Linked DNA regions of Astyanax mexicanus. The protein of the gene in region 2 binds, or shares a complex with, the protein of the main gene of each other region. Links are inferred from orthologs where the notes say so. Each region holds a gene or a part of one and is shown on either strand. Other genes may lie near its edges.

The links.
Region 1: the proteins of rasip1 (region 2) and rap1b are in contact, whole or in part, in a crystal structure (PDB 5KHO), measured with the Homo sapiens proteins. The link is inferred for Astyanax mexicanus from reciprocal best matches to the Homo sapiens genes RASIP1 and RAP1B. Residues at the interface, in NP_060275.2 of Homo sapiens: Val147, Lys149, Ala156, Ser157, Gly158, Ala159, Asn160, Tyr161, Lys162, Ser163, Val164, Leu165, Glu181, Arg182; in NP_001010942.1 of Homo sapiens: Val24, Gln25, Asp33, Pro34, Thr35, Ile36, Glu37, Asp38, Ser39, Tyr40, Arg41, Glu54, Leu56, Phe64.

What each region holds. Positions count from the first base shown.
Region 1 is NC_064409.1:11,819,918-11,836,481, reverse strand, and holds the start of rap1b (ras-related protein Rap-1b), read right to left. Parts: upstream 7,110-16,564; 5' UTR 6,960-7,109; intron 1-6,959. UniProt on the Homo sapiens protein: GTP-binding protein that possesses intrinsic GTPase activity. Contributes to the polarizing activity of KRIT1 and CDH5 in the establishment and maintenance of correct endothelial cell polarity and vascular lumen.
Region 2 is NC_064413.1:6,835,641-6,852,204, reverse strand, and holds the start of rasip1 (ras-interacting protein 1), read right to left. Parts: upstream 8,042-16,564; 5' UTR 7,698-8,041; intron 99-7,697; coding exon 1-98. UniProt on the Homo sapiens protein: Required for the proper formation of vascular structures that develop via both vasculogenesis and angiogenesis.

The DNA.
Region 1 (16,564 bases), on a different chromosome or scaffold from region 2:
ACGCAGAAGGTGAAGACAGAAATATCCCACATTTTCCTAGCCAATCAACAACTTAAAGATACCACTACTGTTTGGTACAATTCCATGTGTCACTTCACCCCCTTAACAATATGACAAAATATCCAAGTAAATTTATAACATGACATATTTGGAGTCAAAGACATCATTTTACACTGCGACAACTAGACCATGTCCAACACCCACAGAATGGCTTGTTTGGCAAAGTACAGGCTTCATGTTGTTGAGTGGTAACCTGTAAGTTTCAACACCATCAATCAGTGGAAAGAGCACACAGCCTGACATGTCATTTGCAAGTCAATCAATTCACCTAGGTTACAGGTTGTCAGGGAGACAGGAGAAACAATTATAAAACAATGATTTGTTGGCTACGCACATTTCACATTTCCGCCCAAGCACTGTTTTGACCCTAAACAATGCAAAACAACGAAACAAATCAATGCACTCTGTGCTGCCGAAGCTCACACCTTGCCTGCATGAGAATCTTTGCATGTCTTACAAGAGCAAGGAGAAGGGGAAAAAGATGCATGCAAATTAGCCTCAGCTTGATGGGAAATAGATACTCCATTTAAACCTCATCTTCAGAGGGACCAGCGTGGAAATCTGTGCCTCTAGTCTGTGCATTACAAACATACTTCAACAAATAAACACAACCGCTGTAGGCCATATTTTGGGAGACTATACAAAAAAAACATCAAGAATTTTATTTAAGAACTAGTCAGAACTGTTTCTTTTTCACTAAACTAGAGTGTGTATCAACACACAAAATAATTATTTATAATTGTTCACGTCTGCAACCGCACTTCAAAAACGGTGTAAACACGGTCGCATAAATAATCAAACAGATTACAGTCAGATAACAGATAAACAAAGCTATCAAGCAGTGTGGAGATAATGCCTGCAGTGCTTCGCCTACCTAACACCCACTTCAGACCAGCTTCTGCTTGCCTACTGGGTGGGTGATGTCCAGAACAATTATGTAACACCTTTAACATGACCAACCCCCACTAGCTTCACCAAACACTCAAAGGGCATAACTGCCGTATGTTCCTAGCTTAAACAAGGACCTGATGCAAAGTTATGGTCTCCAGCACTGGAAGCAGTAAGCAGCTTAGCTGGTGACAAACAGCTGGTTGGGGTGCAGATTGCGACAGGAAAAAGGGCAGCAGGGGACTAGATCAATGCAAACTGGCCAACCTGAGTGTCAAATGCCAAATCATAGCAGGGCATCAGGGTTATGATTGTACACAGAGCCCAGTGATGAGATTTCACATACATTAACTCTTGAACAAAGCTGTTTCATGTATAATTTATCACTCCCCGCATTTCTTATTGTGTAATTCAGTTTATTCAATTTGTAGTCCGTCTTCTTTTACATTTGTGATTAAACTACTGCATCATGCAACTTCCAGAATGTCTCAGAACATATTTTTGTCCCAATGATGTGTAATGCAAATCAGCTGTCAATGGTTGCCAGTGTCCCTCTGGATGGTCCAATCATTAAAACCTAGCTTTTCAAAGTGTGCTTAAAACATTTTGAAATATCAAACCTAAAGATCTGCAAAACGCTTGCCTTCCCAGATTTAGAGATTAGGTGGCCCACTGCTTGTCCTGCCCAGTGTCTCTAAACTAAAAACAACACAGCCTTTGTCCCAGGATTTATCACGATAAACAATTTTATGCATCAATGTGCCTTGTCATTTTTACAATACAGACTGGGCTGTTAGAGGTGTACAGTTCTTCTCGTTACTGAGCTTTTTTTTTTTATCGCTAGCTCCATTACCAAAAACAGCTAAATAGTCAAAATTAATAGTCAAACTTTGGTTCTTTTTACCACCAGAAAAATTAGCTAAATCAGGATTACTGTGAATTAATAGACATTTATTACAGGTTTGGGCATAATAATGAAAATTAATTTAGTGGCAGAGTAAACGAAGTAAGCGAAGAGAGAACGAACAGGTTACATACAGCTTCACTGCAAAATCTGAAAAATACAACTAAATTCACTACTCCCACAATGCAATGCGTTGCATTATCGCAACAGGCTAAAAGCAAAGAGCTAGTAAAATCTCTTCATAGTAGCTTACATCATCTAAATGTCCTTTGTATACCCGTAATGGATGGAAACTGAACTTATTATGCACTTTTATTCTATGCATACTGTCATACAAGCAGCTTTCTAAATTATCAGTATTGCAAATGCCATGTATGTGCCATTAACAAATGAAACAGTTATGAATGTTAAACTGAGCAAATAAACAGTACCAGTCATGCAGTCATGTGCCTCAGTCATTCATGTTTGACCAGAATTATGCAATAACTTTTGCAGTCCATTGCACACTCTACAGCTCTTTATGACAGTCATCTTTCCACAATTCAAGACACACAAAAAGCCAATTAACTCAAATTCAGAAACCTGCACAACAACTATATTAAATTGAAGTTCTTAAGGCCTGAAGTTCAACTCGTACTCAGCTTAGTAGAACTCCTTTATTGGAGAGAGACACAAATAGCAGCCACAGTAATCAGCCATAGCTTACACGCATGAATGAAGACAATGATGTGAGAGAATTGCTCAGGGATTAAAATGTTGGAGTCGGCGAGCGTCGGAACCATACGACACAACATCACTGCAACAAGTTGTCGAACAATCTTGACAATCTGTGACACATGCAGTGGCACAGAGCCAGTGAACGAACTTCAATTAAAGCTAGTGAATTGAGACAGGATAAAAGGATTAAATAACAATTGATAGTATATCACAAACTGGCTATCTCCTGATACCCCCAGACGCATCTTTGGTTCCCCTCAGTGCAGTCACGTGACTGAAAGGAGGAAGGAAAGCATGACAGGGCCACCAGGTTTCACAAGGCCCTTTGGCCTAAAGAGGAAGTGGGCCAACTCGCTGTGGGACACCCACTACCCTCCTTCCCTCCACCCCCACAATTTCCCGCTTTTCCTCGCCAGAGTTTCACCTTTCCTCTTTTCTCTTTCAGTTTCCCAAAAAGTCCCACAAATTTACAGACTGACATCTTTAGTGTTACCAAACCATTCACTGTGGCCTTAGACTTGCTGAGACTTACTCAACTCGTTCAGCCGTCGTCACACACTCCGTGTAGTCAGGAAGAGCAAATGCTAATGCTAATCTATCTTTTACAAATGATGCATTCAGGTATCAGCAGTAGGGTTTCACAATATTAATAACTCTTGCAAGACACAGGCCATCAAGGTTTAAGCCCAGAGCTAGAAAGCACACTCAATGTATATTGCCATCACAGAGACTCCTATCATAATGATGCTATGACCATTACGCAGGCCTAACTGGTAGATATGTAGGCATCAGATACTGTATCAGCAACAGCCAACAATTCCCACATCAGTACATCACTTAGTCACAGAGATTGTTTAAGTCAATTGTAAGCTCAATACAACTATCCATCTATTCCTTAAATAACATAACAGCCATGCTTCCTTAAGGACCACAAGGACACTGTCCCAATGGGAAACATAAATACTGGGTCTCATTTATCTCCAACAGTCTCAGGTGACATTCCTAAGCATTAGTGTCCACTGCCACATATCACTTTGGAGTTGGTATTTGCATTGTAAAATCAACATAATTTAAGCCACATATATTTATTTACACTTGTTAGTCAAATGTGTCCAATAGGGATCAATGTAATTATCTAATATTTTACCTATTTATGTGCAAAAGCCTGTTTTTAAACATACTAAAATTCAGTTTGAAATATCAGTCAAACAACTGTCCTAAATCCTTCCCTAAAACTAAGATTAATGCTAACAACTAACACACTGGGCCAAACCCAAGCCTTTAAAGGCAACACAAACTGTGGACCATCCCTCTCTGAAAGGAAGTTGCACGCTCTTCATTTTGTTTTTCCAAAGGAGCCTCTAAACCGGCATTCCTCAGTGCCCAAGAGGACACACTATCACGGGGATTTCCTTCCTTTCACTCCAAGAGGGACACAACTGGGGTCAGACCACGGCAGGGTGAGGTTGAACTGACCCAATGCTAACTGCTATCAGCATGCATGAAGTGGTGTTTCAAACATAAGAGTACAAATCAGCAGAACAAATGTTGCAGAGGTTCATAATCTGCAGCTGCAGACATCAATGTGGGCTTATCCATTTTTGATATGAGGCAAAAAAAAGGGTCTGTGAAACTTTATCTAACCACTGTCTCAGGAAATGTCTGTGCCGTGAATGAAATAATCAGCCCTGAACACTGACATATCATTACACACACTTCCTTAATTAACCCAGTAGTATGAATAAAGTCCTATTAGAAATAGAAAGTGATACCAATTCTCTTTATGATCAGAATTTAGCAATATGCATTAGAGAATAGTATGCAGGCACACAATCTGAGTAAATACCACAATATGCATAGATAATTTACAACTAAAGCAGAATGACTGAGTTCAATCTCTCTGTTTGACCCTCTTTGGATTAATGTTGTCAGGACTACTCATATACATTTAATTTCCATCCTATATGAGGTTTAAACATCTGTCTAGCTGTAAATAAAATGTACAATAAAACATAAAACAACAGAGTCACTGTAGGACTAAGACTGTCACACTGTTTACTTTGGTATTTGTTTATATAGGCCTAAATACCTTGCCATAAAAGGCCATCTGATTGTTCACTCCGAGGTCTAACCACAATTTAAAGATGAGATACCGAAAAAAAGCAATGGTTCTGTCCAAACACAGTAAACACCAACATTTCATAAAAACATCTCCCTTGTAAAATGTTTACAACTGAAGCACTTGCCATATGACAGGGACCAGAAAGCAGCAGTGCAGTGATAAAAGATTATGCTATTAAAAATAAATGAAGAGGCAACAGGATCCTCCTTACCACCTACAACGACTGCACTACCTCAGAAACAGTTCAATATGCTCCTGTCACACTGCTGAGGGGAGAGAAGCCATCTAGAACTTGCAATAACCACCAAAAGACTGCTGAGGAGAGGAGAAAGAGGGTGTAGCTAGCTAGAGTGGAAAAAGTGCCCTCTAGATACATGTTCTTCTTATTACTAATATTAGGCATAGTTAGCTAGAACACAAAAGTTGTCTCACGGCAAGGTAGGTTACATTATGGATAAAGATACTTCAGAATGGCTCTGCAACATGATGGTCAGACCTACTCATGTGGTCCTCCACTACTAAAGTAAGCTAGCTAACTATACCTATGCATCAAAACACACATAATGTTTCTCATATAATTTAGCTAGTAATGGTGTATACTGTGTACCAGTAGGCCACTTCCAGTGTCCAATTACTGATAACTGTGCTGCTGCTGTTCCTGGGTCATTCATTTCATCTCTATAGCCAGATAGCAAAAGTATGTTGAATCATGGTTCATTTTTACATCTCGAATGCACTGAAACAATGATGATCTACGTCAGAATTGATACACTGATTGGTACACAATGATTTTACATTACATTAATTCAACGTTATGCGTTTTTTTTACATATTTGCTGGTTGTATTACACTTTACTTACACTGCATATGTAAATCTAGCTTGTATTCTACTTCTGTAGCTTGTACTGTGTTCTTATAGTCGCTGCATTTTCCTCCGAATGCGCTGGCTACTCGGCAATGCTACATTAGAAGCATTTTAAAAAGAGGCGGGGGCTGACTTTACACGTGTCGGAGGAGGCATGTGCTTGTCTTTACCCTCCTGGTGTTGGGGTCTCACTAGTGACGGGGGAGTTTTAATAATGAGTGGGTTGAGTAATTGGCCGTGTAAATTGGGGAGAAAATGGGGGGGGGGGAGAAAGGGACATTGACATGATAATAGTAATAATAGTTTTAATAGTTTAATACTTTTGCCTAAAAGCATTGTGAGTGTAGATTCAGAGCCCCAGCCATTTAAAGGCTTTAAATTAACGTTGATTCAACGTCAGAATTTCGACACTCGCCTATACTTACGGGATAATGTTAAATAAAGGTTTTTTCCATCATTAATATTAAAATACGCAAGCTAGAAATGCAACCAAAAAGTAATAACCTAGCTAGCTAATGTTTAATGAACGTTCTTTGCTATCAGGGTAGTTTATTCTTCAGCTCGGCTCTAAACTAGGCGGGGTCGCTGCTCAGACATATGAAGAGCCAGCAGCAGCAGCAGCAGCAGACTCAATGCACTCGAGCCATTTAATAAACCGGTTTAGCGTGCAGGCTAACGCTACAAAACACCAGACAGAGAGACACACTCAAACGTTAGCAGCATCCAAAAAGACGTTTCATTTAGGTTAACTAACTACATTTCGTCGTGTTAGCGAGCCGAAACGCCCAGTTCCCCTACAGCTAAGCTAACATAGCCAGTTAGCTAACTAGCTATCACTCATTCGTGCAACTTTTCCATTTCCGCTATAACTTCCACAGACAGAGCGGTGAATACAGACAGCAGAGAAACGCCATTCCTCACACAGCTGTGTGTTTCTGCGCAGGCTAGACAGCGTTAGATAGATAACTAACCAACCTGGGTTAACGTTTTCACATCAACACAAACCCTAAGCTAACTTCACTGACAAACTAAACCGCCCGCGGTTCGGGCTTTAACAAGAAAACGGCGTCCCAATCATCGGTGATAGTTGAATTGTTTTACTCCGGCTCCGCCATATTCGAGCCGTTTGACCTGCTCCCTCTCTTCCTCTCTCTCTTCCGCAAGCCGTGTGTGTGATGCCGTGCGTCCGTGTATAATCTACCCGGTCTCGGTGCTCTCTCGCACGGCTCCGCGGAAACACACCGGCCGTTAAAAAGCCTCCACACTGGTTCCAGCAGCTCTCAGTTGACCGAATCACCGTTAACTAGCTTAGCTAACCCACGCTATGCTAACTAGTTAAATCGTTCATCAAAACCCGGGGAACAACAGCGAAATCTAGCAAGAGAAGATAAATATATACTCACAGATCCGCTCCGGAGCTCCAACCCGATGTACGCCTCTCTCTTTCCCTTTCTCTCCCTTTCTCCCTCTCTCTATCGCTCTATCTCTCTCTACAGCTTGCTAGCTCCCTCTCTCTCTCTCTCTCTCTCTCTCTCTGTATGGGTGAGGTTTGGAGTTGTCGCGTGACGTCGCAGCCTCGGTTTCAGCATCACGGCTCGAGCTCTGCCCACCGTTCAACAAACACGAAGCGGGAAATGTGCTCCACATCCTCACAGCTCATACAGCATTTAGACATCTGCTGTTCTGGTAAACCATACCTGTCAAGGTTTGGATTTTAAAAATAAGGGAAATGTTCCGCCGCCCGCTTCGAGCCGTCCCACCAGCCCAACCGAGGTTCACTATCACTTACATTTTAAGACAGGTTACAAGTAATCTAAAATAACCACCTGTGAACCACGTACAAACTACCATTAAATTATCAGAATCTGATAAGCCTTCCTTTGTTGACACTGAAATGCTGTGGACAGTCCTACATATGTAATTCATATAATACAGCCTAAATGAAAACGCAAAAGGGAATTGAAGGCCATTTATTTATTTTACTTTTTTAAAATTTATATGCACATTCCTTATCTTATAGTGAAAAAAATATTTTCATTACACCTTTTTTTTAGTTTCTCATGTTCACTTATTTGGTTCTTATTTGTTCCAGACTTTGCATCCTTTAACACTTTCTTAACAGGAATGCCCCTGTACATATTGGTTCTGTACATATTGAGTAAATATATAGAACATATAGAGTAGAGATACATAATTAAGATAAATCATTAGTTTTACACTGCCTGGCCAAAAAAAAAAAAAAAGTGAACACCTGAATTTAACTAAGCAAATGATCTGGGGTTGCTGCAGTTGGTCAGGTCTAGATTCAGCAACAGTATGTGCTGAAAGAATTAGGTCAGCTGACTACCTGAATATATTGAATATAGACCAGGTTATTCCATCAATGGATTTTTTCTTCCCTGATGGCACGAGCATATTCCAAGATGGCAATGCCAGAATATATCAAGCTGGAATTGTGAAAGAGTGGTTCAGGGAGCATGAGATCATTTTCACACATGGATTGTTTACCACAGAGTCCAGACCTTAACCCCATTGAGAATCTTTGGGATGCTCTGGAAAAGGCTTTTGTGCAGCGGCCATACTCTACCATTCTGGCATAACAGTGTATAGCGTAACCTAATCGAATTGTAGATATTTGAGTATACTCAACTTTCACACATTTCAGTGTGCTACATACTCAAAAACTAGTTGCACCTTTGACTGTGGTTACAATGGACACTGTTATCCCACAATGCAGTGTAAAATAGAATATGGAGGAGTTGCTCATGTCTGGAACAAGAAATGAGACAAATAGTAGATAAAGAAGCTAGTGCAGCTAGACCAATGCTGGAGCACCTTTAGTGACATGTTATTAACACTTCATCACTTTCTGTTATTTTAAACAAATTAGTAAATAAATATATTTTGTACTAACCTGGCAACCGCACACTTTAAAGTTTAGTGTATATCTTATAATATTAGTGTGTAGTATGCAATTAGGCTGTAACCCTAGTTGCAGTGGACCGCCATTAGATGGATAGCATGTGTCATACAGATCACACAGCCTATCATTTTAACAATTGGAGGGTAGGGTCTAAAATATGTACTCATTAAAATTCAAGAGGTTTGGTGATTCATATCAATGTCTGCATTTGATTTTATTATGTAATACATAAAGAAATTGTATAAATGAATGTAGAAATTCTAAATAAAAATTTAATACATTCACAAACCCTTGGTACCTAAGGAACACTTAGCTAATGTAGGTTACTTTAAGTGGATCTTGAATGTGATCGTGAATCAAGGCTTTTGAAACCAAGAAACCTGAGTGTGACACATGCACTACTTCCCTTTACAATAATATATCCAGAAATGAAACAAACCCACATAAACCAAATAACTTCAGCCAACACAAGCTTATCTCTTGTGTCTGCAGCTTTGTAGCAAGAACCAGTTTTTGAGCTTGTGCCTTTGAAGAAAGTTTGTCATTCAGTCAGTTAATCAGTCAAAGAGATGTAAAGTCAAAGAGACCAATCAGGATGCTCTATGTGTTACTCTTTCGAAGCAGTTATGACTCACAAAGTGCATAAGTGGGACTAATATTATTTCCTGATTTACAGGAAAGCAGATGATATGAGTGTATCAGGGAGTTACTATCAATATGTGGTTGGTCTGAGGAGCAATGGATGTCTGAAATTAACCAAGCTAGTTGACCAGACATTGGTCATCAGTATGATCAGCTTCACCAAATCAGTCAACCAGTATAACCAGTTTGACGATCAGCTAGGTCAGGTCTGTTATGCTTATAGACCGAACATATGCTATGCTCATCTGAGAGCTTAGCTGGTTTATCACCTTAAGAGGATATAAGGTATATATTTCACCTGGATGAGTATTTTTTAACCACTTTGACCATCCAAGACCTGTGCAGACCATTTGAAAAGGAAATCAGAAACTGCTCCTGTCAAAATCTGTATTTTTCAGCAGGGTAGTGAGAGCTTTTAAATGTAATGTGAGTCTACAGGGAAATGACTAGTGCTGGTCTAAGTCCCATGGGGCTGGTTTTGATAATGTGTAATTTTGGATTAAACTGCAGTGTCAATGGTGCTAAACAACATATTTATTCTAGGCTAACTGCATAACCTAATCATGGATACAAGCATATTACAATGTGTCAGTAATTAACACATTTGGAAAAATAATATTTGTTTCATTAATCATTTTGGGTCAATTTACAAGTCAATAAAAAAGTAAAGGATAGCAGTATCTAAGCGTTACCTCGAAATATGGCTTATATGAGGCCTGATAGTGGGTGCCAGATGGATCGAGCATTCAATTTTTTAGTTGTCCCACATGCATAACCCACAAGTCAGCTCAGTTCTCTTTAGCTTCCACAAGACAATGGCAAAAGTTCAATGATATTTAGCATGTCTCTTTTAGTAAAATGATACCATATGTAATGCATATTTTGTAAAAACACAGTATAAACTATGTTGTTTATTATCTCTAAGAAGATCCGTGAAATGGTTACCACAACAACCTCCTGTAAACTGACCTCACACTACATGCTAATTTCAAACAGGTCACTTTTTGCTGTGTGAGCCTCTGTGAATAATTTTGAATGCTGTCATTCTGTTCCCTGCTTGGTGTGAATGGTGTCCTGTTGTCTACGTTACTCATCTCATACAGTCTTGCTCCACGGCCCAGGAAAAAGTCTCTGTAGTAATCAAATGGCTCATTGAGAGTGGCTGCAAGAGGCCAGGAATTCCAAATATGCTCTGGCATCAGGAATGCGAGCCCACTCCCTGCTGTAGGCCACCCTTCCCGCCCCACCAGCAGCGATCATGTGGTCCTCAGCTGTGCGTACAGACATACAGTATAGTAGAACTGATAGAAGTGCTGGCCCAGACGCTAGTCCCACAACTAGGTTTTATAACCCAGTGCTAAACCTACATAAGCACAGACCATGGACCACACAGTGCCACTGAAATACCAGTACTTACATCATGTTTACACAAAGTGCCAGCCAAAATGACTTAACCATGAATTTGTGGTCATGTGATGTATGTGTAAGGTTTTGTGTTCCTGTTGGTGTAGGTTTAGCGTAAATAGCCTCTAACTGCTACATTTGTGTTGTAGTCAGTGAAATGAACTTCCAGTCAAAACCAGTATAAAATCTTTTTTAAATACCCTTGAAGACCAGAAGAAACATTTTGTCCGTATATTGTATTGTTAGAATACCTAATTCAAATTTGAATCCCAGTAATGTTAACAGAAATGGGATACATGGCCTTTACATACAACTGTGCCTGGACCCATCACCACAAATTACTGGTCAGGCTGTAGTCACTACCAATCGTGTGTATTACTGTATCCATGTAACAATCTTACCAGTATAGCTAAGATGACCATCATTACACTCAAACAATGGTTTTTCACCTAACGAAATCTGGTTCTTGTACCAGTTCGGTTAGGACTTATAAATACTATGGGTCTTTTAATCGAACCAGTCAGCGTTTCCATCAGTTTTAGTAGAACCGTCAAAACGTCACATCAACTGAGGGATTTGCACAGCGGCAGCTCACAGATGTCGTCACGGTTCACGCTGAAGAACCTAGTATTCTTCGGTTCCTGCTGCAAAGAAACGTTCCTGGTTCTGAAACCTTCTTTTGTTGGTGGAAACTCGGCGAGTGGTTCAAAATTAGGTTTTCCGTTTATGTGGAAAAGCACTGTAAGGTCCAGTTTTCAGTGTCCTATTCAGGTTAAGTTTAAGGCTAAGCTGGAACACTTTGCCCATTCATGTGTTTTTCTGGAAACATCATACACCCTACATCATGTTTAACAGTGGCCTGTTGGCTGTGACCATGTATGACTTTCCACTTCAAAAGAAATGACTGACTCAGAATTACTCATGTAAAAGGCAGTACATGAGCATATTAACAAGCACTGAATGTTCATTGTTGTAAGTTTGACTATTGAAATGAAATATTGGTCAAGGCATTTGGCCTACCCCTGTGACCCACTCCAGACTAGGGGAGGCAAAAGCATCCCTCCAGATCTAACAGAGGCTACAGGAACTCCCACGAGTGAGGGCGGCTGGAAACTCAAGCGGAGAGACTATTCTTAGCCATTTCTTTCCTGCCTGGGTGGGGTTTCACAGTTTCTTCATGACGATTGCACACCATCAACTGTTTCCCCTGACATCAAGACACAGCCTGAGGTCAACAAAGGGAAAACAGAAAAGCATGAGTGATTAGGAATTCTTCAGAGAGTTACAGTAACAATAGGCATTAGAAATATCTCTGATGCAACAGCAATGACAGTCAGAATTGGCTGCAAACCACATTTAGCAGGCAATCAGAAAAAGGTCAGGCTCTTTGTCGAGTTGCTATGCTGTAATATGACTATTTAAGCCTCACCTCGGGTGTCTTAACCAGAGCGCAACAGAAATAGATTATCGGCGTGTTCTTCTTGATAGCAGTGGCTCATCTTCTGTGAGAGTGATAAATTAGGCTAATGGGAGGAACTTTAACTGCTGTGAGACATTCTGCTCTGGGAGTGTTCTCTCTCAATTTCAACACACACACACACACACACACCAATTAATGGGCCATGTACAGAGCAATGCTCAATAGCTTTAAATTAGACAATTGAAAGCCCCGGAATTTTACTGATGGTTTTGACATTTTAGATTTATGAACATAAGTGTAAACATTTCAAAGAGTAAAGTTTTAAAATGTGTAATTTACGTAGCAGGAATAGTACAATTGGGTCCCTAGTGCCACTCTTAAATGAACTTATCATAGCTCTTGCAGGGTCCTACATCGCCTTACTTCCTGACTCCTTTGCTAAATATTGCCAGAATGTAGGTAGGGTTTTTTTTTAGCGTCTTCTTTTTCTACAGCCCTGCATTTATGTATTTTTTTGTCTGTACTGTACTGCAGTATTTAAACCAATGTTTATTTTTAAGTTTTATTTAGAGAGAAACATTTTCTAGTCTAATCAGTGTAACACCAACATTATGGCCTCAGCATTCTTCCTATGAAATATAGCTTGTGATCATAGCACATAGCCAAAAGAGCCTTTTTGTGGAGCCCTGCTGTTAAGCTACCTGAATGAGTAATTTAAATGACAAAAGAATGCCTAAAGAATATAAAGTAATAACAAGGTACTGGCTCTCATATGTGCTTTTATTACAAGTGTTTGTCTTTTTGTAGTCTGGCTACTGTTAGGCAGTAACAGAAAAAGAATGAGCAAGGAGATTTATAGATCTTAAGATTGGTATTTGCATTACATTTTCAAAACGTTACTTGCCAAAATTTGAATTCATAGTTTTTGTAATGTTCAACACATTAAAATACAGAGGCTGTTTCTTTGTTGTTTATGTGCAGTATTTCAGTCCTAACATTAGGGACTTCAGGGAAAAATGTAGAATGTAGCTTCTTTAATGGCGTGCTGCAAGTCATTCTGACACACAAACCAGAGGAGGTGTCTGGATACAAACATCTACACCAAGCAGTGAGGATTTGGTTGTTCCATTGGGCTTGGTTATGACTACACAGGATACAGTCCTGCATTTCAAAACTGCAGTGTGGTTAGCGCTTACAGTGGTTTTGCCTTGTTTTGTTTGTGCTTGACTGTAAATGAGCCCTGTGTCTCTTAGGAATTCTATGTAAAAATGAAACAGAATGGAACAAAATAAGCAGTACAAGTTGCCCAAACCCTAACGACATGTTTAACACAGCAAGCCTGAAAGTGCAGTGGTCAGAAAGTGTTGATTGCATTACATGGTAATTACAAAAGACATGTCACATGACACACTTTGCCAAGCAACAGAAAAAAACACAAGGCGACACATGAGCCGTCTCAGGTCATTATTAGAGGTTTCTAAACACACATTACAACATGTTCAAACATGGCAGCAGAGCCTGGCCAAGACTGAGAGTCCACACTTACCCAACCTCTGTTTTTTTTTTATTAACCCAACAGACAAATAGAAAAAGGTCTGTTTTTTGTATCAGGTCATTATTACTTAAGCTAAGTGCTAAATGTTCTAAATGCTAAGACACAGGGGACAAAACACAGACACGAGAAGGCACTGGGGTAAAATCCTTTAGTATAATTTTTGTCTTTCTGACAGATAGATGTGAAGAGGCAAACAGTGATTACAACTGCACTGGTGAAATGAAAGAGTGAGAGGGTGTTTGTCTTGGTCTTCCGGAATGCCTCTGATTACTGTTTCCAGTGAAGCACATGCAGCCACAGGAGGCTAAACAATGTACGCCCCTTAGCCGAGTGTCTAACAGCTGTGAGCACAGTCTCCAAAGCCTGTTCTGAGCTAGCTCAGGGACTGGACACAAAATATTCTTAAAGAAATTTTATTTTAAACAGATTTCTTCTTAACTTTATACTTTTTTATTCTTGAGAATCTCTCTAAACCTTTTTAAATTTATCTCAAAAAGTTCTATAGAGAGAAAGCAAAAAAGACAAAACTAAGAGGAAGAGAGAGAAATACATTTAGGCTGCTAAGTATCATTAGAGAGGGCAATCAGGCAATAAAAGAGATACCTTTAATAATTAAATTCAATTAGGGCTTAAATCTAGGTCAATCGATAAAGCTCAGTATAAAAAATGAGTTAATATTGATTTCCGGTTCAGCGGCTGAACGCTGCAGTCCACAGGAGGGCAGAGGGCCTTTAGCTTAAGCGAAACAGCTAAAACCAATGACCTGATGCATTAGCAAAGGATTAGAGATCATGAACGAAGGGCTGAGGTAAAAATATGGCACTGAATGAGATTTTAGGCTTTTAACACACAACAAGTTAAGGAACTGTGCAATTTAAAACACAGCTTCCCAACTGTCTTTATCACCAGTTCTTCATTGGAATGGTTCAACTCTTGAAACTCTTGAAGTGTTTCCATCAGTTTCCATCAACTTCCATTAGAAAGTTGGAAAATTGACTGTTTCGGCTTTGAAACCTAAGAGGATGTGTTTCATATCATACTGCAGGCAGAGGCTCTAGACTGGTGGTGGCTTCAAGTTTTTGTTTTTAAAAGACGTTGTTCTGTTCATGTTTTTCTACAGATATTGGTTTAAACTATTGGTTATCACTTATATATTCTCTGCATGGACAGGAAAATTGGCAGTGTTAAATCAACACTATTAGTGTTAAATCAACACTTATTAGTGTTAAACTTTACACCCTCAGTGTTAATTTAACACTAACAGTGTTGATTTAACACTGACAAATTTCCTGTGAAAAAGCACAGCTGCAACTGCTAAAATGCTGTAAGTGTTAATATTAATGTAAAAAAGGTGTACAAATTACCAGTATATAGAAATGTATGCAAGATGTTAAGTACATTCTTCAGTCTTTCCATTAAAATCTACAAAAACTGTGTAGCTCCTGCAGATCTTCTGGCAGGCTGTGGCAACAGCAGAATGGAATAATGCACCAGAGGGCAAAATCTGATAAATGAGAAAGAGAGATACTGCTGAAGCCAAAGGGCAAGTCCATATGCTTTCAGCATAGCTACTCCCGGTGTCTAGATGTGATACAAAAGAGACAGAGAGAGCTGTATGAGTTAATAGAAACACTATCCTCATTTTACACAATAGGTTTGGTTATCGGTAACAAAAGCCATGGTGGAATGTTACCCACAGAGGGCGACTCACACCCACACCAAGGGCCCTGGAGGTTCTCAGCCTCTACACTGTGTGGAACCTAGTAAGACCAGGCTATTGAAGTACACCACACACACACACATACACACACTCTACAGTTGTCAGGTGCATTAAGAAGCTTTGGAGCTCACACAGCTACACGACTACAAATTGAAGAGGATGTAGTCCCTCTTCAGTATACACAGAAAGGTCAACAGGTGTCTATAGGCTTTGTTAACCCACCCTTGCTAAATCCCCCTGTGCACAAACATCAATGAACACCCCCAACACACACACACATACACACAAACACACCGATCTTTTGTTTAACTGCTTACCGCATCTGAGCCTATTCCTTTATGTGTGCTTATGAATGCAAAACTGAGCCATTGTCCTGCTCACATTACCATTCCCACCTAAATTACCATTTCAAGGACTGTGTCAGTGAAGGAGGGAGCAGGGTAAAATGTGAAGGGAGTAGAAATGATGATGGGGTTTTGTTCAGCTGATGAAAGGTTACAGTGTGCATCAGTCTAGCTCTGAGAGCAGAATGATTAGATTATCTTACACCGGCCAAATCCACAATGATTTACCTCGCTCTTTATGATTACTCCACAGTACATTGCTGTGGCATCAAAATGTGGCTGAGCTGTAATCAGTGAGGACACGGTTTTTATGCGAGATTCATACACTGGTGAATTATGGACGTAGGAGAGATAAATATGTCAGACATCAGGGCTGCGTTCATGTTTGATGTGCAAATAGCAAGAAGAAATTCTCTGTGAAGTCTGCTAGTTGGCAAAGCCAGGAGAACTTTCAGGACTGCCATATTAATCACTGCTAGATATATCATGTAACACGACATTATAAACAATGTCTATTACTACACAAAGAAAGATACACATATTGTTGATTCTGAATTTACACAAATTGTGCTGAGTACCAACAATGAAAGACTTAAAGTGGCAGTCCGTATTATTTTGTTTCTAAACTGAAAGCAGAAGCATTTCTGAGTGGAGAAGGGATAAAATATTTTGTTTAATGGTACCGGTGTGCTGGAACGACCATCGGGTTGCTTTTCACAGGAGTTCTTCTGGCCACGTCACTCGTCTTTACGTACTTACGTGTCATGTCTGGTGCTGAAAGCATGTCTGAGTCTCCCACATCCAGCTCTATCTGCGATTCCCACAGTAACAACTACAATACCCAGAACGCACCACTCCAACGCACCACATGACACATCACATGACACCACCAGGAAGTCCCGAGTACTGATTATCCTCAGTATTTAAGGACCATGCTCACGCTCACACCTCGCCGAGTATCTGTTTGGTAATTCCTACAATACAAAGCGTTTCTCTTGCC
Region 2 (16,564 bases):
CGTGCACCCAGCTTGGCGAAGTGTTTCCGTGGGGAATTTATCCACAGGCCCATGGGGAAATGGAGCTTGCTGAAACGAGGACTCCCAGACTCCTCCATCTTAAAGGAAAAGAGATAGAGAGAATGATTAAGAGATGGAGGTGGATATAGAGCAGGATAGAAACAGTAGGAAAGTTTATAGAAATACTTAAATGAAGTCATCCAGATTATGAAGGAACACATAAAGAATCATGTAGTAACTTAAAAGGGTACCACTTTAAAATAAGACTACCTTTATAAAGGGTTTATAAATGGTTTACAATTAGTTTATTAATGCTTACTAATTAGGTTGTAAATGCCTTAAAATCATTAATAATCAGTTATAACACATAAATAGAAAGGACAACAATGTAGACGGCTGTGGGTTCACTATTTTGCAAACAACAGGTCATTGTTGCCCTTTCTATGTATGTGTTATAACTGATTATTAATGATTACTGATTATACCTAATTAGTAACCATTAATAAATTAATTGTAAATCATTTATAAACCCTTTATAAAGGTAGTCTTATTTTAAAGTGGTACCCTTAAAAGTGTTTAAAACAAAAACAAAATACTTTGTGAAGAAGCATTTATGTGCTCTTATCTGAGGAGCTGATAACTTGCAGTTTCTGAGGCTGATAACTCTGATGAACTTATCCTGTACAACAGAGAGAACTCTTGCTCTTGATTTCCTGGGTCAGTCCTGATGAGTGCCAGTTTCATCATTAAGTTTTTGATGGTCTTTGTGACTGCAATTGAGGATCATTTCAGGAACTAAGTTCTTGAAATGTTTCAGATTGGCTGACCTTCATTTCTTCAAGTATTTTGTTTTCGTTATTTAGTTGAGTAGTTCTTGCTTCTCATAATATAGATTAGAACATTACTCAAATAGAGCTATTTACTGTATACCTGTAACTCTACCTCTTCACAACTTTACAACTGATGCTCTCAAACACATTAAGAGACAAGAAATTCAGGTAATTAACTCTTGATGAGTTCAGCACAGCTGTTAACTGAAAGCCTGAAATTCCAGATGACTATAAAATATATCTAAATAAAAAATCTAAAATATAAAAAAGATATTGTGGTTAGTTTACTCTTTTTCTTCATAGTTTGAATGACTTTAGTATTAACCTACAATGCAGAACATTTTAAAATAATGAAAAAACACTGATTTTAAAGGAGAACTCTGGTGGAAAATTGATTTTTTGTATGTAGTAATACATGATTAAAAGTTCTTACCTTTGATGAATAGCACACCTCTGTTCTCCCACAGCGTTCTGAGATCCATACATTTTAATAGTTTGTCTAAAACCCTTCAGACTGGGTGACACGGGGCATAATTTACCCCGATAAATAGCTTTTTCCACTGTTATCCAGCTCAAAGTAGCTCCACACCTCCTTGCTAGAATCTGAAGAGACCTGACATTTAAAATGAGGCATTAATAACTTAAAAAGTGCACAAGAAGCTGATTAAAAACCACTGTTTACATCCTACAATGCGAGCTTCAGCTCTGAGCGCCGCCATTACTGTACTGATAATAACATAACATAACGTATATATACATAGAATCCGCATAGCGTAGCAGATAAAGAGTGTTTTTTTAATAAGAATCTTGTGCACTTTTTAAGTTATTAATGTCTCGTTTTAAATGTCAGGACTCTGGAGCTACTTTATACTCTGGATAACGGTGGAAAAAACTATTTATCAAGGCAAATTATGCCCCGTGTCACCCAGTCTGAAGGGTGTTTGGACAAACTGTTAAAATTTCCGGTTCTGGGAACGCTGTGGGAGAACGAAGGTGTGCAAATGATCAAAGGAAATAACTTTTTATCATGTTTTACTACATAAAAAGAAAAATTTTTACACCGGAGTTCTCCTTTAAAGTGAGTCTTAAGTTTTTCCCGGTACTGTATAGGCATGTATAAAACAAAAGCAACAAGAAACTCATGTAAAAAAAAAGGCAATCAGTCTCTGAATCAAATACCATGAGTCATATTTTGAGATTGTAACATAATTAGGGAATTCTCCCTCTTGCTCGTGTCATTAATCCTTTAGCCCCTCTATTGTCCTTCTCCTCTAAATCAGCTTACAGGGTTATTGGCAGCGTATGACATCAGTTGATAGGCGACGGGAAATCCTGAAATACCCTTTCGAGTAATCAGGACATGCAAGGTCGCGCGTTTTTCCTGCTTTGTTCAGCTGTGAGTAAAGCCTTTGAGGATGTTAGTGGAGGAGAGCTGGAGGGGAATGCCACAGCAATAGAGAGGGAATAGCTGAAGCTTCGACGTGATCATGTGATCAAGCCTGTCACAATAAGTGCAATATCGATTTATCGTACAATAAATGAACACGACCTCAATCATTTTTGATAATCGTGATATCGCCTACTGTGTTTTTTGTATGTTTGTTCACATATATAATAATGAACATAATTTTAGCCAGCCATGCTTAAATAACTGTGACTCCACACACACAGTGTGGACAAAATATGTAAAGAAATAAGTATAGAATTCCCAAAATTATTATAATAAATGATTCATTCAAATTTTGTGGTCTTTAAAAAGCGTCTTAAAATTACCAAAAATATTGTGTATCGCAATAATTTCTGGGACAATATATCGTCCACAAAAAAAAAATATTGTGACAGGCCTACATGTGATTTATTTTATCATTTTTTTTCCTATTAGCTTGGCCTTGATCTTGCGCTGCAAAAAAATATCTTTAATAAGTCTTAGAAAGTTATATCCTCTTAAAATTTAAATTGGTAACACTTTATAATAACTTTTATTAATATATGATTAACTAATGAATGCTAATGAACTGTTATTTTTTCACATTTTAAGGAACAAAAAAGTTGGGAATACTAATAAACACATTGGCAACAATAACTGCAATTGATGAACATTTATCAGGTTTAAAATTCTCATTACTAGTGATGTATTAATGTTCAAATTCTGACGAGCTAATGATTTTTTAAAATGACTAAATTAAAAAAATGCATGCTGATAACTAATTGTCATGTGTAAGCATTTGTTCACATTTGTGTATCATTAGTTAAAAGTATATTAATGAAACTTATTATAAAGTGTGACCCTTAAATCTGTTTAATGATCTGCTATTTTTTTACATTCTTTTTCTTTGTTTAAAGTTTTGCTGTAATGCAATCAGTAATACCTTTTATCTCTTAAAAACACTTTTATTTCTCTTAAACCAATTTTATATACAGCTCTGTAAAAAAATGATGAGTTTCTTTTATTTTTACTAAATTTAAAACCTCTGGAATATAATCTAGAGGAAGATGGATGATCACAAGCCATCAAACCAAACTGAACTGCTTGATTTTTTGCACCAGGAGTAAAGCAGCATAAAGTTATACAAAAGCAGTGTGTAAGACTGGTGGAGGAGGAGAACATGATGCCAAGATGCATAAAAAAAACCAAATATTGATTTCTGAACTCTTAAAACTTTATGAATAAGAACTTGTTTTCTGAAAGTTCTGTATATTTTTTGTTATTTCAGTCATTTTTCATTTTCTGCTAATAAATGCTCTAAATGACAATATTTTTATTTGGAATTTGGGAGAAATGTTGTCTGTAGTTTATAGAATAAAACAACAATGTTCATTTTACTCAAACATAAACCTATAAATAGCAAAATCAGAGAAACTGATTCAGAAACTGAAGTGCTCTCTTTATTTGTTTCAACATTGTGACTAAGGGTCAGTAATAAACATTTCTGTTTTGATTCTAATAGATTTAGATTAATATCTCAGCAAAATTAACCCTTGTGTGGTGTTCATATTTTTGTTACTCGTTTACTTTGTTATTTGTATTTAATTCAGCAAAATTAAGCAATTCTACATTAAAATGCTTTACACATGCTTGCTTCACCTAAACTGCAAGCAATATAAACAGCTTACATGGTTAATATTTGCCTTTTACCTTTCTTATGTTACATTTCTTTCAAAAAGTGCTACTCTTTTTTTTATTAGTTTTTTAATAAAATGTAAAAGAAAATGAATTAAACTCAAGATATGAGTAGAAAATTTGTTTAGTTTCAAATTTACAAATGAAGCAATGTTTATTAGCCCTTGGCCAAACATACTGTATGTAATATAAATGGTTTGGGGGGGGGGGGGGGGGTGTACAGTGTGTGTTTATTGAAAATGTGTTTTGATATATGTTTTTCACAAAAAATGAGCCAATGACAATGAGTTTGAGTTAGAAAAAATATTTTTTTAGTATCATCTGATGAAAAATGAAAACGGGTCCCACAGACACAAGGGTTAAATGTAAATGGTTCTTTTGGATTGGATGGTTCCTTATGGGATTGTTGGTTTCTGTGGTTTATGTGAACATTAACATCCTTATTTCTTCCTATATTTTTATACATTGTGTCATTTTCTATTAGGAGTAAAAAATAACAGGTTTTAAGACTAATAGTCACTTTTTCCTAGTTATTCTTATTAACGGCATAACCTTCTGTACAGCGAACTGCCAACCAACAGCAAGTAATGCTTTGTAAAAAAAAGAAAACTTAACAAATGTTGATTTACAGTCAAATCTAACCAATTTGGCCATTTCCCTAAATCTGTCACGTTTAAATAATGCAGCAAATGCTTCTTACTCACTATTGTGATATACTGAATTGTGCTGGTTAGATAAACACATCTTGTGTAGTGCTACAATGCCTATTCTAATTCCAGTGTTTTCTCACATTTTAATAACAGGATATGTAATTGTCCACAGTGGCTGTGGCCCTGACCACCTGCATCCTCACTGGCAGAGAGGAAAACACGCAGATGCAGGACTGAACTCACTACAGGATTTATTATCACTCTTTTTTATACTCTAATTACTTTTTTAATCTACTAATTATTTCTCACCATCTTTTTAAAGATTGGTTCTAAGTAGAACACTTATCCTTAATCTCTTAGAGCAGGGGTGTCCAAACTTTTTTTGTTGGGGGCCTGAAGGAGAAATATATTTGAAGTCACGGGCCACAGACTCTGTAATAAAACAAATAATGAAATATACCACTTTAAATAATACTTTTTCCTGATTATTTCATTTACACACCATTTTACTTGACTTACTATCTTTATCTTTGACAGTGTTGTGTAAACTAAGATTGTTGAAATTGATGTTTAATTTCATGATGTCTCTTAATATTAAACTCCTTAATTACGACAACTTTTAGACTCTTGCCCTGTTTTTCTGTGCTAGAAATGCGCACCCTCTCTGCTTTTAGACTCTTTGGTCCGTTTTTCTGCGCTAGAACTGAGCACCCTCTCCGCTTTTAGACTCTTTGGCCTGTTTTTTGTCGCTAGAAATGCGCACCCTCTCCGCTTTTAGACTCTTTGGCCTGTTTTTCTGCTCTAGAAATGCACACTCTCTCCGCTTTTAGACTCTTTGGCCCGTTTTTCGTCGCTAGAAATGCGCACCCTCTCCGCTTTTAGACTCTTTTGCCCCGTTTTTCTGCGCTAGAAATGCGCACTCTCTCCGCTTTTAGATTCTTTGGCCCGTTTTTCTGCGCTAGAAATGCGCACCCTCTCCGCTTTTAGACTCTTTGGCCCGTTTTTCTGCGCTAGAAATGCGCACTCTCTCCGCTTTTAGACTCTTTTGCCCCGTTTTTCTGCGCTAGAAATGCGCACTCTCTCCGCTTTTAGACTCTTTGGCTCGTTTTTCTGCGCTAGAAATGCGCACCCTCTCCACTTTTAGACTCTTTCTAAAAGTTGTGTGAAGTTTCCAGCCAGTACAACTCCATAAAATGAGTTCAGAGAACTTCAACCTGGAAACTTAATAATGATTGTTGGGCCAATTAATAAAATGCATTGAATTTGCCAAGGCTCTTTCATTTGTGTTGGTTTATACAGCTTTTTGCATATATTTGCATACTGGTTGTGGCCTCTGTCTTTCTTTACCCTTTTGCATTATTATTGCACATGTTTGATAATTGCCAGGCCTCGGTGTTGTAGGCTGTAAGAGCAAGTTACCTTTATTCTAACTAACCTTTATGAGTTCCTAGTGCTTACAGTATGTTGGTTTGGAGCTACAGTGTTCACTCTTGTGTTTGTTTTTTTTTTTTTTTTTTTTTTTTGCATTATTTGAGGTCTGAAAGCTCTCCATCTTTTTTTTTATTTCAGCCATTTCTAATTTTCTGCTAATAAATGCTCTAAATGACAATATTTTTATTGGAATTTGAGAGAAATGTTGTCTGTAGTTTATAGAACAAAACAACAATGTTCATTTTACTCAAACATAAACCTATAAATAGCAAAATCAGAGAAACTGATTCAGAAACTGAAGTGATCTCTTAATGTTTTTCCAGAGCTGTATATTTTAAATTAACTTAATTGCTTAAGACAATAATATGTGAGAACAAAACACTTTATACAGAGTTAATTAAACTATTGTTGTGTGAACAAAACTCAGTTCAGTTGAATTGGGGTAACTTATTCAAGTCATCTTCCAGTTTTAACTAAGTTAAGTTGAATAAACTTAAAATTGTATATATTTACTACAATTTAAAGCAGTCACAGCAAAATGATGACTTGACTGAGTTAGGTTGAATAAATATTTTTGTTTTCAGTGTATAGGAATAATCAGTAGCTATTACTTAGGCTCAGAGGTGGAAAGTAATTAATTACATTTTTTAAAATAGGTAATTTTACTTTTACTCAAGTACATTTTGACACAAGTAATTTACTTTGCTACACTGGAAAACTCCCCATTACTGAGTACAAAATAAAATGCTGGGGGGAAAAAAAAACAATTGTCTAAATAAAAAAAAAAAATGCAATCTCATGCAATACAAAATGTGCCCCGCCGGACAGAGCTGTCAGTTTTCAAAACTTCCACATCAAACCGGAGAAAGCACGTGATGGTAAGTATTTTCATCATTAAACAACAATCTGCTTAAATGTAAAAAAAAAAAAAAAAAAATAGCAGTTAAAGCACAGCAATTGCAAGTTAAAAAATAATGATGAACTGTAAAACTATAAAATTACAGTTTATAGTCGCCTATATGACCATAAACGTTTAATAGTAAAGAAAAAAATGGATCATAGAAACCTATAATCTATGCCACTTGTTTTATGGGGTGTTCTGAACAAATACTGCCTGAAAGGTCCAAATTATTATGTGGAATAATAGTTCATTAAAAACTATTTTTTTATTTAATTTATGATTTGTTTTTACTTTTTTACATTAAATAATTAAAAGTAACTATGTAACTTTTACTCAAAGTACATTTTAAATTGAGTACTTTTTTACTTTTACTCGAGTAGATTTTTAGATGGGTACTTTTACTTTTACTTGAGTAGAATTTTAGCAAAGTAAAGGTACTTTTACTTAATTACAATTTTTCAGTACTGTTTCCACCTCTGCTTAGGCTACTAAGTAGTGTTAGTGCATTTAATTATTAGTCATTAAAGATTAGTAACATTTTAGGTTTTTTAAAACCTGGGAATCAAGGGGTTAATACTAATATCTCACACTTTAGACACTGTCCAGCGACTCCAGTCTCCAGTGTCCAGCCTAGGCCCAAACCTACGGCTTGTACTTTTTACAGAACGGTCAATTTAGCAGTTTGATGTGGAAAAGGCATAAAAACGCTAACAATAGTTCAAAGAGCGTCTATTCTTTAGTATAGCGTAATCGTTTCCCCTCACCAGTAATGTGACTCACCCACTGCGACTCGTTAAAGGATGCTGTTCTGATGAAAAATTGGGCTCAAACTTTTAGTCTCTTTTAGTACGCTGTCCGGCTCCTTATTCCACAGTAGCGACGTTTGATTAGTCCATGTTCTCGGAATTGTCTCTCACTGCTGGATACTGAAAATTATTTTACTTTTTTCCGACTTGATAAAATAAAATAAAATAAAATAAAAATTCACATCCTTCTCAATTTGAGTTTGTCTTTTCTGCGACTCTAATAAGCCTCGCTTTTGCTTTCCCCCGTCTGCCTCTTTTTCTTTCTCTCTCTCCTGATCCCAGTCTATAGATAGAGAAGCAGGCCTATTGTTCTTAGTGACAGAATTTCCTTCCCCCTTGCTGGACAACACCTATATCCTGACAGAAAGAGGGAGAGGGAGGGAGGGATGGAGGGAGGGTGTGGGGGGGGGGTGAAGGGAGAGAGAAATATTATAATGTATGATGTATGAGTGTGTAAAATGTTGTTAGGCCATAAACATGCATACATATACTACAGTAATGTATGTACAGTATGTATAGATTTAAGGCTAAGTACAGTTCGCTAATAGTACAGTACGCTAATAGTGCTAATTTTGAATGAGATGCTATCCAGTTCCTGCTAGCTTGAATTTAGCCAGAGTTAGAGAGAGCGCTCAACATGTGGTCAGTCAGTGTTGGAATTAGAGATGTCAAAATGTATTCTTATTCATTACTCTGTAGGTAGACGTATAGAGACTAGGGACAAAGAAAAAGATAGGCTAAAGCACTACTAGGAGTATTACAATCGTAAATCTTTCCAACAGGTGCTCTTTTGAAGCAGGGCAAAAATTTAAATATAAAAAGGTACACCGTAAACCCAGAAGTTGATTGAACTCAAATGAAGTCTGTGTTACATAAAATTGGATATTTCTAAACAATACTCAACTATTTTAAGTGAGTTGAAAGTTTTTTTGAGCACATATAAACATTCAAACTGAGATCTTTGAGTTGAACCAGTTTATAATAACTGAGTTTAGTCTGTTTTGTCATTAACTGCTTCTTTTCCATTGGCTTCTGTCACAATCTATTTGCATACTGGGTGTGTCCAACAGTTTCTGACTAACACTCACCATCAGTGTGTAGTGATTCCCCCTGGGCTACCTTAGAAATAAATCAACTTCCCCTTTAGTTGTAATAACTTGATGTTTTCATTTCTCGTTATTTAATAAATTTGAGTAATCCAGCTGCCTTAAAAAAGTTAAGTAAACTCAACTTATCTGGTTTTACAGTATAACAAAAATAAAAAAGTTAAATCAACTTCCCCTTTAGTTGTAATAACTTGATGTTGTAAGTTATGCTAACTCAAGTTTTCATCCCCATTACTTGACTTTTTTTTTTGGCCTTCTTCAGGGCATGAAACAAAACCTCATACCTGTAGAGCCAAACTGGCCTCCCTATAGCCTATAGTGCTACAGGCCTTAGTACTGTATTGTTATGAGCTAAAAGAGCTTATATCATTTCATACTATATAGCAGGGGTCAGCAACAGGTGGCCCACAGGCCAGATGTGGCCTGCAAGCGTGAAACATCTGGCCCATTAGGTTGTTTAAACTATAATGAACGATAATGAAAGAAAAAAATAAAAATAAAATGCTTCTCAGGTGACCTTCTGTTTACATCCCTTCCTGTGTGTCTTTGTCAAACTCGGCGTCACTTTAGTTTCCGCCCATTCTTGGGCTCTGTATCTCCTTATAAGAGTGTTTTTCCTAGTTTTGTCTTAATATACTAGCTAGGGCAGTGGTGGTGTATTTAGCCGCGACCCCACGTCATTTCTTTTCCTGCTTTCTTTTCAGAATTCAACTGTTCTGCAATTGAGTTCAACAACCCTCTGGGCTGGAGAGCTACCAGTCTGTAGCATTCCATCCCATTGGCCTATCTCCATCCCATGGCCAAACTTAATTGCCAATTCCTGCTATATACGGTTGCCTGGTTAATAGGTTTGTTGCACATAGGGGTGTTTGTAGACAATTCTTCACAGAACCATTTAAAATAATATTGCAGATAGCACCAAAAAGGTTCCACTGCTGTTTTTCAGTACAGTTTAAGGCGTATTCTACCGAAAACATTTTATTATTACGCATAGTGTCTTGGACATTGATCTAATTGCAAATGTAAAATAGGTAATTAAAACATAATAAACCTACTTAGAACACTGAACAAATAGCATTTGTTATCTGTCCTGAAATATAAATATTAAAATCCTTCAGAGATGTATGTTTTTGCATTGTTGTGTGACTCCAAATCCCATCTGTGCTTTCATAATAAATCCATAATATTTAAGTTAAAATACACATTTTAGTTGTGTCCCTGGCTTTCACTCAGTCGTGTTACTGTAACAGATTACCCTGAATATCTGAAACATCTGGAACATTCTACATCTACATCACATCTACAACAGGAAGTGACATCAGCTGCTTTTTCTGAAGACTATGGGAAGAACAACATTAAATTCCCTCATTAGTTTTTTCTGTATATTTTATTTTATTGTAACTATGACTGAGGAGTTCAATCTCAACACTCTGTCCTGTTACCCAAATTAATACTTATTAGATCTTATTTGTTTATTTTTAAAATAAAAAGTTTGGGAATGTCTCAAGAATATTCTCAGTGTCCTTATGCTATTAGCATAGCCGCTATTTAGCTATTTTCATGTTTTTGCTAATTCTATGCTAAAAACTCTGTCCTGTGACTTTCAGCCATGTTACTCATAACATAAACAGTAACAGGAATGAATGCCAGTAACAGGAGTCAGTAGAGTCCCCTGGTTTATGGATTCATTAATGTAAATATTAGTTAATGTAAAAGATAAAAAATAGCTTTGCAAATTTTAGAAAAATTAAATGTGCATGCATATATAGTGTTTTTATTGTCATAAATATCAATTATTTGAATGTGCAGTAAACCATTTCATTAAAATTAATACTTTCTTGAGAGACAATCAAAGGAATTAGTGGAATCTTTTTTCAAACATGCTTTTTAAATGTCACATGAGTTTTGGTTACAAGGACTAAGACTTCCGCTTAGAAAACATGTATAAAATGAAGTAAAGCTGCCTGAGTTTGACCAGTACATGTTTTGAATGGTTAAATATGTGTGTTATTAAATTTAGAGTTGAGAAAAAGATAAAAAAATTAAGTTTAATTTTAATACACCAAGCAAATGGCACCCTTTCTGTGGTAGAACGTGTTATTACAGGCAGTGATAGGGCGAGTGCACACAGTTACGCTTAGCTCAGCATGTTTTATACTTAGTCTGTTTTATTTGATTTGGATCGGGGGTCTTTTCTGACTACAGGAAGTAGGAAAGCTTGTCCAACAGGAAGTTGCTGAGAGAAAGGCACCTATGACCTTTGACTTTGACAACAACAGGATGATGGTGACAGGAAAGAGGGAGTGTGTGTCTATGTGTGTGTGTGTGTGTGAGAGAGAGAGAGAGAGACAGAAAAAGAGAGAGAGAGAGAGAGAGACAGAGAGAGAGAGAGAGAGAGAGAGAGAGAGAGAGAAAGAAATTAAATACAGACCTTGTTTTGAAGAGGTTTGTAAATACAGGCCTTTTTTGTACACTTAAATATAGTTCTTTAATGGTTCTTTAACCAAGTCAATCATTGTACTGAATACAGTAGGATATTTCCACTCTCACACTGTAATTAATTCCTGTATTTTTCTACAGTAAAATCACAGAATAAACAACTGTTTAACCCTTTCAGACCTGAATTATCTCCAGTGATGGAAAAAATGTAAGAATGCTGTTTTCTATCTGTAATGCAGAGAAAAGAAGACTCTTATAGAATATTTTACTATAAAATCTATATAGACAAAAAAATCGAATTAAATAAAATATTTATTGTTATTATTATTATTATTATTTTTCTATTGCATTGGGAGCCTGTGTGTAATATTTTGCATTTCATCTTGACCTTTTTATTTCATGAACTATCCCTAAACAGTTAAAACATGATTAAAAGGTGTTCTAAATAACATAAAATTTGTAAAAATTGCCTCTATTTATTAAGCTTAAGTACTACCCTTTTACCAGTGCAGTGGGCGGGGCCAAGTTACTGTTTCATTTGTTTATAAACGTGTTTATTGGCTGGTTTGTGGTCTATTCTGATGGACAACAGCTCACAAATAGTCATATGTGCAACAACACATTTAAAAAATAAAGAAAATACAAGGGTTAGCGATGTTCTTTAATAAACCATAGTTGGCCCTTATTTTATTTTAGTAGAGATTGTTATATATTTTGAGTAAATATCATGTACATTTATCATGTACATCATGTATATTGGGAGATGCGAAAGAAGCCATTTCTGCAAGCACACCACAAATATCGCCTGAGGTGTGCTTTTGCTTTTGCACACCTCAGGCGACTCTGTTTGTGGCGTGCTTGCAGAAATGGCTTCTTTCGCATCACTCTCCCATACAGCTTCTCCTTGTGCAAAGTGCGCTGTATTGTTGACCGATGCACAGTGACACCATCTGCAGCAAGATGATGCTGCAGCTCTTTGGAGGTGGTCTGTGGATTGTCCTTGACTGTTCTCACCATTCTTCTTCTCTGCCTTTCTGATATTTTTCTTGGCCTGCCACTTCTGGGCTTAACAAGAACTGTCCCTGTGCTCTCCCATTTCCTTACTATGTTCCTCACAGTGGAAACTGACAGGTTAAATCTCTGAGACAACTTTTTGTATCCTTCCCCTGAACAACTATGTTGAACAATCTTTGTTTTTAGATCATTTGAGAGTTGTTTTGGTGAGCCCATGATGCCACTCTTAAGAGGAGATTCAAATAGGAAAACAACTTGCAATTGGCCACCTTAAATACCTTTTCTCATGATTGGATACACCTGGCTATGAAGTTCAAAGCTCAATGAGGTTACCAAACCAATCTTGTGCTTCAGTAAGTCAGTAAAAAGTAGTTAGGAGTATTCAAATCAATAAAAGGATAAGGGTTCCCATACTTTTGCACCGGTCAAATTTTGGTTTAATGCATATTGCACATTTTCTGTTACAATAAACCTCATTTCAATCCTGAAATATTACTGTGTCCACCAGTTATTAGATATATCAAACTGAAATGGCTGTTGCAAACACCCAAATATTTAGAACTAAAAATGTTAAGATTAATAGGGGTGCCCAAACTTTTTCATATGACTGTATATTTCCTTATCACATATTCTAAAGTATGCTATGTTATTTTTTATGTTATATAATGTTTTATGCCATGTTATTTTATGTTGTTATGTTACAGGAAGCAGAGATAAGGAGCATGACAAAAATAATCTGACTAATTGACGGGAAACGGGAAAAATAACCGGCAGATTAGTCAACTACAAAAAAAAACATTAGTTGTTGATGTTGTCAATAAATGGTCATTGTCGTTTACAGGAATAATTGTTGTTGGGCTTTTATCTTTTGTCATAAGTGTTTGTCTTTATCACAGGACTGTTCCTCCACTGATCTTCATGAAGGTGAGGCATGCTTATGGATCACAGCAGCAGAACCCTCTCAGACTGGAGGCCTGAGGATGAAGCTGTAGGATTCTCAGACAGGAAGTTGTGACAGCAGGCTGTGAACGGCTGGTGTGCGTCATTCAGCCATGTCCCTCCATGTTTGTTTTTGGCGAGCGAGTGAAAGCTTTTCCTGACTGGAGAAGAGAATGTGCATGGAGTGAGAGAGAGAGAGAGAGAGAGAGAGAGAGAGAGTACAGTACAGCAGTGTGTTCTCTGAGCTGGGGGAGCTCCAGACTGCTCCTGTGCTACTGTACGCTTCATTTCCATGTCTGGGAGGCTGATGCCCTGTCTGGTGGTATACAGCGCCCTGCAATGGCAGAAATGACTTACTACACAGTGTCTCAAAACTCAGACCCCATTCATACCTGGCTCTACACCCATTATCCGTTTATCAGCTCCACTGGTCATGTACACTGGACACTCTGTAGTTTTATAATAATTACAGACTGTAGTCATGTATCTGTGTCTCTGTATACTTTATTATTATCCTCCTCCTCCTCCATCCTCACCCTGTTCTTCAATATTCAGAACCCCACAGGTCATTTAGCACTAATTGATTATGGCGTAGCCAACGAAATCCCAAAAATCAGTGTCTCAGAATATTAGAATATGATATAAAACCATTTCATTACTTTTGGCTGTGTTCCAAGTCCTGCTGGAAAATGAAATCTGCATTTTCATAAAAGTTGTCAGTAGCAGAGGGAAGCATGAAGTGCTGTAAGATTTTGTGGGAAAACAAAACTGCACTGACTTTAGACTTGATAATAAACCACAGTCGACCAATCCCAGCAGATGACAGACATGTCTCTACAAACCATCACTGATCATCAGTAAATTTTTACATTTTAATCTAGAAATCAAGGGAGCAGAGTCTGGAGGAAGAGAGGAGAGACACACAGTCCAAACTGCTTGAGGTCTAGTGTGAAGTTTCCACCAATCAGTGATGGTTTGGAGAGACATGTCATCTGCTGGTGTTGATCCACTGTGTTTTATTATCAAGTTTAAAATCTTACAGCACTTCATGCTTCCCTCGGCTGACAACTTTTATTTAGATGTGGATTTCATTTTCCAGCAGGACTTAGCACAAACTGCACACACTGCCAAAAGTACCAATTGGTCTTATATAATATTCTAATTTTCTGAGATACAAATTATTGGGTTTTCATTGGCTTTAAGCCATAATTATCAACAGTAAATAATAAAAAAAATGCTTAAAATAGATCAATCTGTGTGTAATACATCTATATAATATATGAGTTTCCAATTATAAACTAAATTACTAAAATAAAGTCACTTTTCAATGATATTCTATTTTTTTTTTCAGATGCACTAGTTTGTATGCTTTTGTCTGTTGTTATGTTTTGCTTTTGATTGGATTGTTCATGTGCATTTTAATTTAATAAAATATAAAAAAAAAAAAACAGACTACACTCAGGGCCCTATCTTGCACCCTATATATGAAGCATTGTGATGCTAATTGTTATCTTACACCCTGTCATCAGTCTATTTTCACGTCTTCCACCTCAATAGATTAAATAGCAACCGTGCTTGTGAATATATCTATGTCCATATGTTAGGGCACCGGGAATTCTACCAATGAAGTGTGCAGGTATTTGAGTTGGTTAATGGTGTAAAAATAGTGATTTCTTTCCATTGGCAACTCTATGCCCCTATCACTAACATTGTAAGCCTGTTAGGAGCTTCAGCTAAAAGTGCTGTATTTCAGAATGCTGGGGTTAAGCAGATGTGGGCTATTAGACAAAAGTTTGTAACCTTTGTCATGTTTTACTACAACACAAGTGCATTTCACACTGGACTTCTCCTTTAACTGAACTGAGCCCCAAATTTTACATAGCCAAGCAATGCCACTGGCATCGATACAGGTCTTCATTGATACAGCCATACACCCATACACACAGAGCAGAGCAGAGCAGTTACGAGTATCCAGTTTACCTGATGTCCATGTTTTTGGACTGTAACTGTTCTTGAACAGCAGTGGTTGGAAGTTTTAGTCAGGGTTGAGTAGCGGAAGGAAACGGTCTGTCGGTCAGAGAGTGATGTGTGTCTCCTGTTCTGAGGAAGGAAGGAGAACTGACATGTTTAGACATGGCCTGTGTAACAAATGACATACAAATGACATACTTACATTTGATCAAAACTGTGGCACCGTTTTGCCATTAAAGGAGAACTCCGGTGTAAAATAGACTTTTTGTGTAGTAAAACATGATAAAAAGTTCTTACCTTTGATGAATAGCACACCTCCGTTCTCCCACAGTGTTCTGAGATCCAGAAATTTTAACAGTTTGTCCAGACACCCTTCAGACTGGGTGATACGAGGCATAATTTGCCCCGATAAATCAGTTTTTTTTCCACCGTTATCCAGCTCAAAGTAGCTCCACACCTCCTTGCTAGAATCCGGAGAGTCCTGACATTTAAAACGAGGCATTAATGACTTAAAAGTTCACAAGAAGCTTATTAAAAACTACTGTTTACATCATATAACGCTAGCTTCAGCTCTGAGCGCCACCATCTTTGTACTGATAATGACAGACATATATACATAGATTTCGCATAGCCTGCCTCCTGGCGCTGGCTGCTATGTCTATGTATATATATATATATATATATATATATATATTATGTTTATTACATTATCAGTACAAAGATGGTGGCGCACGGAGCTAAAGCTAGCGTTTAAGACACAGCCGTGCACTGCAAACCTGCGCTACAAAATGTATAATGTTTGGTTTCGAAGCAAAATTAATATACTTAATATATTGTATAATAAAAACTAGTGTTTACATCATATAACGCGAGCTTCAGCTCTGAGCGCCACCATCTTTGTACTGATAATGACAGACATATATACATAGATTTCGCATAGCCTGCCTCCTGGCGCTGGCTGCTATGTCTATGTATATATATATATATATATATATATATATATATATATATATATATATATATATATATATAATGTTTATTACATTATCAGTACAAAGATGGTGGCGCACGGAGCTAAAGCTAGCGTTTAAGACACAGCCGTGCACTGCAAACCTGCGCTACAAAATGTATAATGTTTGGTTTCGAAGCAAAATTAATATACTTAATATATTGTATAAATTGTGAATAAACTTAGCAAGCTATGTATGAATGTAGGGAACTAGTTGACAGGTTTAGATACAGTCGCACACTATAAACCTGTGTTACAATATATATAATGTTGGGGTTTGAAGCAACTTAATTTACTTAATTTTAATAATATTTAGTTAATATTATTGCTTGGAATGGTCCTGCCAC